Linked DNA regions of Saccharomyces cerevisiae S288C. The gene in region 1 interacts genetically with each later gene. Each region holds a gene or a part of one and is shown in the gene's direction. Other genes may lie near its edges.

Region 1 (5,414 bases):
ACTTATAATCTTCACCGCGAATGTTTTCCCAGTAGTTCTTTCAATGGCTTTCTTTACTGTGGCAAATGCACCCTGGCCCACCACTTCGTCAATAATCGAAAAATCCTTAAAAATACCAGTCTTGTTGGCCACCATTGATGATGCAGTAGATGATGTAAGACCAGGAGAAGCTATTTTAGAGGTATTTTTCAGGTTAGATCTTATGCGATCAACTTTGTTCTGCTCGAGGCACTGCTTAAATTTGTCGTTTATGAAAATGACCAGAGATAAAATATCTGATTCCACGCCTACACCAACGGTTATTTCATCACCTTGAGACAGTAACTGATTGCTGTTCTTCTCGACTTTTTGCCCATTTAACCAGGTCCCATTAGTGGAAATGTCATTCAATAAAAGGTTACCGTCTTCTCCTAGTAGTATTTGGAAATGCTTATTTGACAGTCTTGAAATGTTTCCTAAATGATAGTCACAGGCTGGGTTTCTACCAAATGTCCAAACTTTCTTTATGGATCGTTTTTCCTTAAGCACTTGTGAAATATCAGCTGACAAATCTCGGATGGGAATTTGACCCGTGGTACAAATGACCCTGCACACAATGTTTTCGCCGATCTGTTCTTGAGAAAACTTCTCAATCAAAAACCTTTGAGTAGCCTGCGTGGATTGCTGTGTGGGTTGTGTAATATTTTCCATTTTTAGTTGATGTTGTGTAACACTATCTTTTCTCACTATTCTCTCTTTTAAAGCTTAAGAAAATCGAATGCATATACAAAATTAGTTTGTCTTCCAATAATCTCTACCGTCCTTTTCTGCTTTCTTACCTTTTCTTGATCAGAGATTTCAAAATGGTAACTTTGGTACCCTTTATCTTCTCAACCTGTACCTTTATTCTATAAATGTTTTCATTTCCAAGTCTACCCACGGTGATGATTTTTCTGCCAATTTTACGCGTCACTCCCGTTGCCGTATCAACGCGTCCACACCACCTCACCCTCGAAATGAAAATAAATATGTTAATAGATGCACGTTTCATTGACATCTGTGACAAACACTTTCCGGCTTAATTAAAAGGAAGCAGGCTATTAATGCACCAACCAAACAAATGATGGTTCACCTCACGCTGAAATCTCATCTAATAAAGGAAGAATTACTTTGGCATGCTTTATCTCCGTCCTATAGTTGCCGATACCACGGTAGATAATACAGTATCATTCTAAAAGTACCATTTAGGTAGGTGCTGAGCGAACCAATAAGTAAGTTTTTGTTTTTTCTCAGTGTTTGCTTTGAATTTACATTGAAATACGTTGTTTTGGACGTACTACAATAGCCGCCATAATAGATTTTCGGGTAACTTTTACACTCTTCCCTCTCTTTCACGTGAGTAAGCACAGAATAAAATCCTAACGGATGTGATAGAACAAAAGGGATATCAATGACAAGAGAGAGGTACTTTATGTTAGTCGCCTGTGCAGAAAGAACAGTCCATAAACAACAATCCGTAAAGAACAATATAAATATTTAGAAAAAGATGTTGCCAGAAAAGAGACTATTGACTCCAGACGATATGAAACTATGGGAAGAATCCCCAACAAGAGCTCATTTCACTAAATTTATTATAGATTTGGCTGAATCTGTCAAAGGACATGAGAATTCCCAGTACAAAGAACCAATATCGGAGTCAATAAACAGTATGATGAACTTGCTTTCGCAAATAAAAGATATCACTCAGAAGCACCCAGTAATAAAGGATGCAGATAGCTCGAGATTTGGTAAGGTTGAGTTTAGGGACTTTTATGACGAAGTTTCACGGAATTCCAGGAAGATCTTACGTTCCGAATTTCCCTCTCTCACAGATGAGCAGTTGGAACAATTATCGATTTATCTAGATGAATCATGGGGAAATAAAAGAAGAATTGATTATGGTTCAGGTCATGAATTAAATTTCATGTGTTTACTTTATGGACTCTATAGTTATGGAATATTCAATCTTTCAAACGATTCAACTAACCTCGTGCTGAAAGTTTTTATAGAATACCTTAAAATAATGAGGATACTAGAAACTAAATATTGGCTTGAGCCTGCGGGCTCTCATGGTGTTTGGGGATTAGATGATTATCATTTCCTTCCATTTCTATTTGGTGCCTTCCAATTAACCACCCACAAGCACTTAAAGCCGATATCAATTCACAATAATGAGCTCGTAGAAATGTTCGCTCATCGGTACTTATATTTTGGTTGTATCGCTTTTATTAATAAGGTCAAGTCATCCGCCTCCTTGAGATGGCATTCTCCTATGCTAGATGACATCAGCGGTGTAAAGACTTGGTCAAAAGTTGCTGAAGGGATGATAAAAATGTATAAAGCCGAAGTCCTTAGTAAATTGCCCATCATGCAACATTTTTACTTTAGCGAGTTTTTGCCTTGTCCGGATGGTGTATCTCCACCAAGAGGCCACATACATGATGGGACTGATAAGGATGATGAGTGCAATTTTGAAGGACATGTTCATACTACTTGGGGAGACTGCTGTGGTATAAAGTTACCGAGCGCTATTGCGGCTACTGAGATGAATAAAAAACATCATAAACCAATACCTTTTGATTAGGAAAAGTCCATTTATAGATGCTATCTCATTGTATATACACGTATACAGGGTACGTACTTTTTCCATCTACTCCCACTAAAATCTTTTGGCGCTTAAGTTGGGGTTCCACGCTAGCCCCGGTTCTGACTCTTTTGTAGCCGTCTCATCCTGTTTCCAAATCTTTATGCTTTTGTCTGCTTCTCCAGTGATTAATCTTAAACCTGTTTTATCGAAAGTGCTACAAAGAACACTCCGTTCACCTTCCAGAGAGCCTACCATTTCTCTCGTGGCCAACGATTGGTATTTGTGACCAGACTTATAATCATAAAAGGAAAGCACACCATTGTCACCGCCAGCGAATAATACATCATCTTGATTAATGCTTAAAGTATTGATTATGCCTGTCTTTTCAGACTCAAAATTGGTGAGTAAAGACCCCTCTGCTAATCCCCATGATCTGATGTCATCAGTACACGCAGAAGCCACCGAAAACTCCTTAGGATGCAACGCTGTAGCTCTCACAGACCTCTTATGATGTGTTAGAACTTTCATTGTTTTCCCAGCAACTACATCCCATAACCTTACCGTAGCATCAGTCGATGAACTCACCACTTGAGGGTCTACTGGAGTACACTGTACTTGATTGATTGGACCCTTATGCCCAACTAGTGTAATAACAGGTATTCTGGTTCTCATATCCCAGAGTTTGATAACGCTATCTCGGCCTGCGGTAGCTATGAGATCCAGCGTTGGATGTATGCTCACCGTACGAACCCCCGATAAATGTCCATAGTAATCTCTAATAATTTGGTTTTTCTCTAGGTCCCAGCATTTGACCGTCTTATCTTCACTAACAGAAAATAAATAAGGATGTCGATCTGACACAGCAACGTCTCTCACTGTCATTACATGCCCTGCTAAGGTAGTTTTTAATTTTCCTGTTGCAAGATCCCAAACTTTCATTGTCGTATCATTACTTCCGGTGATGAACCATTCGTTGTCAACAGGATCGATTGCAACGCATCGTACCCATCCAAGATGGCCATTGATAACGCGTGAAAGTTTCCAGGGTGCATGCCATTCCGGCCTTTGTGACAGAAGTTTTTCGTATCGATTAACTATAAGTTCTTCAGCAACCTCTGGTTGGAAAATTTTATTCACAAAAGCAGATGCATGCGTATCGTGATCTTTCTTGCTAATCACTGCTTGTGATGCTTCTGAAAAATCTGTAGGAACATGCTGCAGAGTAACTTTCTTGCCTTCACCACTAAAAGAAGAACTTTCCTTCCTATAAGTATCATATCGCATTAGCAATGATTTCTGACCTTCCATTTCGCTTTGTAGGTGGGGCGGCAGAGTGGCCATATATGAAAATTGGTTATTCCAGCGTATTCTGGAATAAAATTTGTCTACATCTCCTAAATTTTCGACTTTGTGATCATTTCCGTCCATTCTCACTAATCTCCATGTAACACAGTGTCTGCATCCTCGGAAATGGTTTTAAGATGCAATGAAGTGGGTAATAATTACTGTTAGCTTCACATCTTGAATAATCTTTTATTGCCAAAATTGTAGCTTTTCCGTATTAGATGATGAAGAATTTTGAGCACCCTTACTTAATAAAAGAGTTGTTGAACTCGAAATAGGAATACGAGATGAGGAGTAATTCTCTGAAAGTAGATAGCTCCTCTTGTCACATTGAATGCTACTTTATTGTGACTATAGGTGATTTAAGCGAACGAATGTTCTTAGGTCATCGTGGATTTGTGTGGTGATTTTCGGCTTATCTTAACAATGTTGACCGCGTGGACCCTCCCAATCTTGACAACAGAACACTTATCAATAACGGTATACAATAAATATCTTGTATGAATTAAATAAAGTAACGTTTTTTCCCTCATATCATTCCGAATCATTACGAAAATTCCAATACCTGTATTTTGAAGTCAACAAGAGTTTCGTTATCCGAATACTATTTTTTGTATCAATAAATTTTGTTTCGTTTTTCATTAATAACTAGTCACTGTGTAGTGGAAGCAAGTTCTCCTTATCCGTTGCCAAGAGACAATAAAAGACCCACATATAGGTGAATATACTGCTCACCATGGTTAATCCTGTTGGATCCTCGAAATTGGAACAAAACAATATAAAAAGCATTATAGGATCATCGTACAATCGACTATACAGCCAATTTACTTCTGATGAGTTGACAGAAGTGGGAAACTACAAGATTTTAAAACAAATAGGTGAAGGAAGTTTTGGAAAAGTATATTTAGCGCTCCATAGACCAACACATCGTAAAGTCTGCCTAAAGACGAGTGATAAGAATGATCCCAATATCGTTAGAGAGGTATTTTACCATAGACAGTTCGATTTTCCTTATATTACAAAGCTTTATGAAGTGATAGTGACAGAATCAAAAGTGTGGATGGCATTAGAATATTGCCCAGGGAAGGAATTATATGACCACTTACTTTCTCTGCGTAGAATATCGTTATTGGAATGCGGAGAGTTGTTTGCACAAATTTCAGGTGCTGTTTACTATGCACACTCAATGCATTGTGTTCATAGAGATTTGAAGTTAGAGAATATTTTATTAGACAAAAATGGAAATGCAAAATTGACGGATTTTGGTTTTACGAGAGAATGTATGACAAAGACGACATTAGAAACGGTTTGCGGTACCACAGTTTATATGGCACCTGAATTGATAGAAAGAAGGACTTATGATGGATTCAAGATTGATATATGGTCATTGGGAGTGATACTATACACATTAATTACGGGATATTTGCCATTTGATGATGACGATGAGGCTAAAACGAAATGGAAA
Region 2 (5,140 bases), on another chromosome or scaffold:
ATTGGTGCGGAAGAGTTTAACTATTCTAGAGATTTCGTGAGATTTAGTGTTCACAGATCGTGCGAAAGATTACACACTACATATCTCGATTTGGTGTACTTGCACGATGTCGAGTTTGTCAAATTTCCAGACATCTTAGAGGCATTAAAGGAATTGAGGACCTTGAAGAACAAAGGAGTTATCAAAAATTTTGGCATATCAGGCTACCCAATCGACTTTATCACCTGGCTTGCTGAGTACTGCTCTACCGAGGAAAGTGATATTGGGTCATTGGATGCAGTATTGTCCTATTGTAACTTGAACTTACAAAACAATAAGCTATTGAACTTTCGAGAAAGACTGCTACGCAATGCTAAACTGAAAATGGTTTGCAACGCATCAATCTTGAGCATGTCGCTACTAAGGTCACAGGAGACAAGACAGTTTCACCCGTGTTCTCATGAATTGAGAGAATGCGCATCTCAGGCTGCCAAATACTGTCAAGAACAAAATGTCGACTTAGCCGATTTGGCCACAAGATACGCGATTTCGGAATGGGTAGGAAAGGGACCCGTTGTTCTTGGAGTCAGTAGCATGGAAGAATTGAAACTTGCTCTGGATAATTACGAAATTGTGAAATCGAATGGCAACAGATTATCTTCTAAGGACGGACAACTAGTAGAATATATCCAAAAGAATATTTTTAAAGAACATTTTAATGAAGAGTGGTCTTCAGGTATTCCTCATCCAGAAATGATATAATCACCCCAAAAAGAAAAAAAATTTGTCAAATTTTAGTTTATATTCATTTGTTCTATTTACATATGTAAGTTTTTCCTTTTCTTCTTTTTTAGTTTTTTCCTTTTAAAATTTCTTCTTCTGCAATTCCTCTAAATATTTTTGCTTTCGTCTTAACTTTTCCTTCAGAATGTCATCTCCAGCCTTCATTTTGTCATTCCATTCCACTATTCTTCGCAATATACTCATCACGGTGAGTATACATATATAAAAGTAGATGATGAAGCCTGAAATGTAAACATTCCTTTGGTTATATGCCCTTGAAGCCAGTGCATCCACTGGGGTTACACTATTTATTATATAGGGATTTTTCTGGTTGCGGTACGTAGACACTCTGATCTGTGACCTTTTCCATGAATCGATGAACAAAAGACCAACGAAGATCATGATTCCAACCATATAAGTTCTGAATTTCTTATTAGTACTTATGATACTGTAGCGTATATACAGCCACCTTCTCATACGCTGTGGAAGCGGAAGTACCAAAATAAACAGAATGGCCATTTCGATGACCAGTAACGAAAAGAGTACTGCCAAATAAACACCCATCACTAACTCGACTTTGAAATTTTGCTTAGTATTTTTCTATTCACATAATTCATGCTCCAACGAACACTCAGCGTATTTATTTACTTCCAGGCGGCTAGCTTTTCTCAGAGAAGGCCAGCTGTACATATATTGCTCTATCAACCCTTTTTTTTCCCTTGTCTTTTTTCCAAGAAAACCATTTTGCCTAATTGACACAAGCCTACACAACCAAGTTAGCCGTTAAACACAGCAGACGTATCTCGATCTCGTCAATGATATATACGTGTTTTTTGGAAGAATGAGATGGGATAGTAATACACCAAAAATGGGCTGATCATCCGATGTTATTATCAACCATTGGTGGATGGTCAAGACAGCGGCGCTAAATGCCACAGCCTCGATCCGGGTAATACTTATTTTGAGTTTTTTCAGCTGGGACGAATTATCATCACTAACAAGGACAATGAGTATAGCACTGCACACACACACGTTTTATCTTTACGTTATACGTAATTTTTCCCTCCTTTTAATGATGAGAATTTATTAATACATTCATTTGAATGGGAATTTTACTTTTACCTTCCTCAAATTTCTTTATCAAAACTCAAGTTTTCCTCTCTTTTCATCTCCTCTTCCTCTCCTTTCTTTCTTTCTCTCTTTCTTTTTCTCTCTTGGCTTGCCTTCTGCTCTCTATTCTTGATGAAAATTCTTAATTTGATCCAGGGAACGATAGGAAGACAAGAGAAGAGGTTGTAAACGTGAATTTTGTAAAAGTCCCCAATCAAAGAAACACTTTTGGTTGCCCACTTAAGAAAGCTATTTAATATTAAATCTTTCCGTACACATCAATTTTTCGACATATATACAAACACAAGCGCTATGTCATATTACAACAGGTATAGGAACAAAAGAAGAAGCGATAATGGTGGAGGAAACTTAAGTAACAGTAACAATAACAATGGTGGTATGCCATCTGGACTATCCGCATCAGATGCAATTTTTGATCTGGGTAAAAATAAGAGGGTCACGGTAAGACAATTTAGAAACATAAATTTAATTGATATCCGTGAGTACTATCTGGACTCATCTACAGGCGAAATGAAACCTGGGAAGAAAGGTATTTCGTTGACAGAAGATCTATACGACGAATTGCTTAAGCACAGATTGAATATTGATGAAGCCTTGAGAAGGCTAGGATCCAAGAGACCAAAAACCAAAATGGTTAGACTATTGTCCGACGACGAATATGAAGATGATAACAATAATGACAGTACTAATAACGACAAGGATAAAAACGGGAAGGACAAGAACAGCCCAAAGAAGAGGAGAGAAGATAAGTCCAAAGCATCTAATGAGAGTCATGACTTGGAGCCACGTTCAAAGAAGAAGAAACCTGCTCCACCTACTCTACTTCCACACGAGGAAAACATTCAAAACGCTGAAAGAGAAGCCAATGCTACTTTGATCATCCCAGGCCAGGCAGGTAGGAAACAACAAGAGGAACGCAAGCAAAAGGAAAAAGAAGAGGCAGAGGAGGCAAAGGCAAAAGCAGTTGCAGAACAAGAGAAAGAGGCAAAGGCAAAAGAAAAGATAGCTGAACCTGAACCTGAACCTGTACCCACACTTCAAGCTAAAAAAGAAGATATTGTCTCCAACATAAACGAGTCAAAAGATGCAAATTCTAGTGACGAAGAATTTGCTCAAAGCTTGGAAGCTGAAATGAACAAGGCTGAAGACGACATAAGTGAAGAAGAATAATAGTCCTGGAAGTTGAGCTTGCTTATGTCAACGTCTTCCATCCAACGAGCTTATTAGAGAATAAAAAAAAAAAAAAAGAAATAAAAATATATACTTTTCTGTTTGTCAAATTCATTTTAACAATTCATATAATCAAATATGTGATTTATAATAACCAGACAAAAGTTAATCTTGTACATTTCAGTATAATATACTATCAAAAAAAAATTTGCGCTTACTAAGCATTTTCCCCGTACAACTAGTACACAGTGAGAATGGAAGAGGGTAAAAATTCATTGTTCGGAAAAATAATATATTAAAGGCAAGCCAAAAAAAAAAAATTTAGACTAAGAAAAGAATAAAGATATCTTTGCAAGGCAGAAACCCATTCGATCAGCACAAAAATGACCACGAACGATACATACGAGGCTACTTATGCCATTCCCATGCACTGTGAAAATTGCGTGAATGATATAAAGGCATGCCTAAAAAATGTCCCAGGAATCAATTCATTGAATTTCGATATAGAGCAACAAATAATGAGCGTGGAAAGCTCAGTAGCCCCTTCAACCATCATCAACACCTTGCGAAACTGTGGTAAAGACGCCATCATAAGAGGCGCCGGGAAGCCGAATTCTTCCGCGGTCGCTATCTTAGAGACCTTTCAAAAATATACTATAGACCAGAAAAAGGACACCGCCGTGAGGGGCCTAGCAAGAATCGTTCAGGTTGGAGAGAATAAGACTCTTTTTGACATCACTGTAAATGGCGTCCCAGAGGCGGGAAATTACCACGCCAGCATTCACGAGAAAGGCGACGTCTCCAAGGGCGTGGAATCTACTGGTAAAGTTTGGCACAAGTTCGACGAACCCATTGAATGCTTCAACGAGAGTGATTTGGGCAAGAACTTGTACAGTGGGAAGACCTTTCTGAGCGCTCCCTTGCCAACATGGCAACTTATCGGCCGCAGCTTTGTCATTTCCAAGTCTCTGAACCACCCAGAAAACGAGCCTTCCTCCGTTAAGGACTACTCATTTCTGGGAGTCATTGCGAGAAGCGCTGGTGTGTGGGAAAATAATAAACAAGTGTGTGCGTGTACCGGAAAGACTGTTTGGGAAGAGAGAAAAGATGCCTTGGCCAACAACATCAAATAGAACATCCAAGATAGCACAACGTAGCGTAATACAGATATAACATAATATAGTATACTACATCATAACCACGTGATGCCGGACATGTACATACGCATGTGGCAATATGCCAAAGCCGGTTTCCAATCCTACTTCATATTGCCTTGTCCCTCCGGTTTCGCCGGCAACAACGGCCCGGAACGTACCTAAAGAGGTATTTCGCTCTTGGTATCCGTACCTCACTTATCTCCAGCACCTATCGTTCCTGGCCAGACGGCCGGAGTTGATCTTTCGTCTTTCTCCGGAAACCACGGCGTTCAGCTACGCATTCCGTAGCAGCCAAGCCGGTTCTTGACACCATCTGTCTACGTCATACATATCGGCTCTTTTTGTCTCTAATAAATTAAAGAGAGCCATTTATACGAAAAAAACACCTTTTTACGAATTTCAGAAAATCAGAATGGGAAAAACAAACTGCGGAAAAGAAAAACAAGACACCGAAAATATATACAATTTCCCCTCTACAGACAACATATAGTATTGACACTTACTTATTTATATTTGTTGTTTCCAGCGAAAGAGACAGGTAATAAAGACAAATAGCAGAACAAAGTGGTGTTTGTTGCCTGATATCAGCACCAGTCAGACTTGGCCCTTTTACTTTTATCGCGTAAACCGTGTTCCCTTTTTTTGCCTTCCTGTTTGGTAATAGTAAGAAAGCAGCACGAGCTCAACAAGACTTCCCAGTTAGAAACTGTGTTACACGAAAATAAAACAGACGGAAACCTTGGAGATAACAGAAACTAGTCTGTAATACGAAAAGTTCAAAAAAAAAAAGATATTGCTTTTTTCTTCCTTACTTTATCGGTATCTTCCTCATATTTTTCGGGAAGATCACAACAGTAGTAGCAAGGTATTTCATACGCCAAGAGGCTACCTTTTTTTCTTTGGTTTTATTTGCTTTATTT

What was found. Genes that interact genetically often act in the same process or in processes that back each other up.
Region 2: mutations in RRD2 (region 1) and CCS1 impair growth when combined (synthetic growth defect), as found in Saccharomyces cerevisiae (2 studies listed by BioGRID, with this or other methods).

What each region holds. Positions count from the first base shown.
Region 1 is NC_001148.4:263,503-268,916, forward strand, and holds RRD2 (peptidylprolyl isomerase RRD2), read left to right. Parts: upstream 1-1,525; coding exon 1,526-2,602; downstream 2,603-5,414. Other genes in the region: serine/threonine/tyrosine protein kinase RAD53, read right to left, coding at 1-690; YPL152W-A (uncharacterized protein), read left to right, coding at 1,100-1,198; mRNA splicing protein PRP46, read right to left, coding at 2,678-4,033; YPL150W (non-specific serine/threonine protein kinase), read left to right, coding at 4,686-5,414. UniProt on the Saccharomyces cerevisiae protein: PPIases accelerate the folding of proteins. It catalyzes the cis-trans isomerization of proline imidic peptide bonds in oligopeptides.
Region 2 is NC_001145.3:346,567-351,706, reverse strand, and holds CCS1 (copper chaperone CCS1), read left to right. Parts: upstream 1-3,446; coding exon 3,447-4,196; downstream 4,197-5,140. Other genes in the region: D-arabinose 1-dehydrogenase (NAD(P)(+)) ARA2, read left to right, coding at 1-741; YET2 (Yet2p), read right to left, coding at 844-1,326; chromatin-binding transcription coactivator SUB1, read left to right, coding at 2,185-3,063. UniProt on the Saccharomyces cerevisiae protein: Copper chaperone for apo superoxide dismutase 1 (SOD1). Binds copper ions and delivers them specifically to apo-SOD1.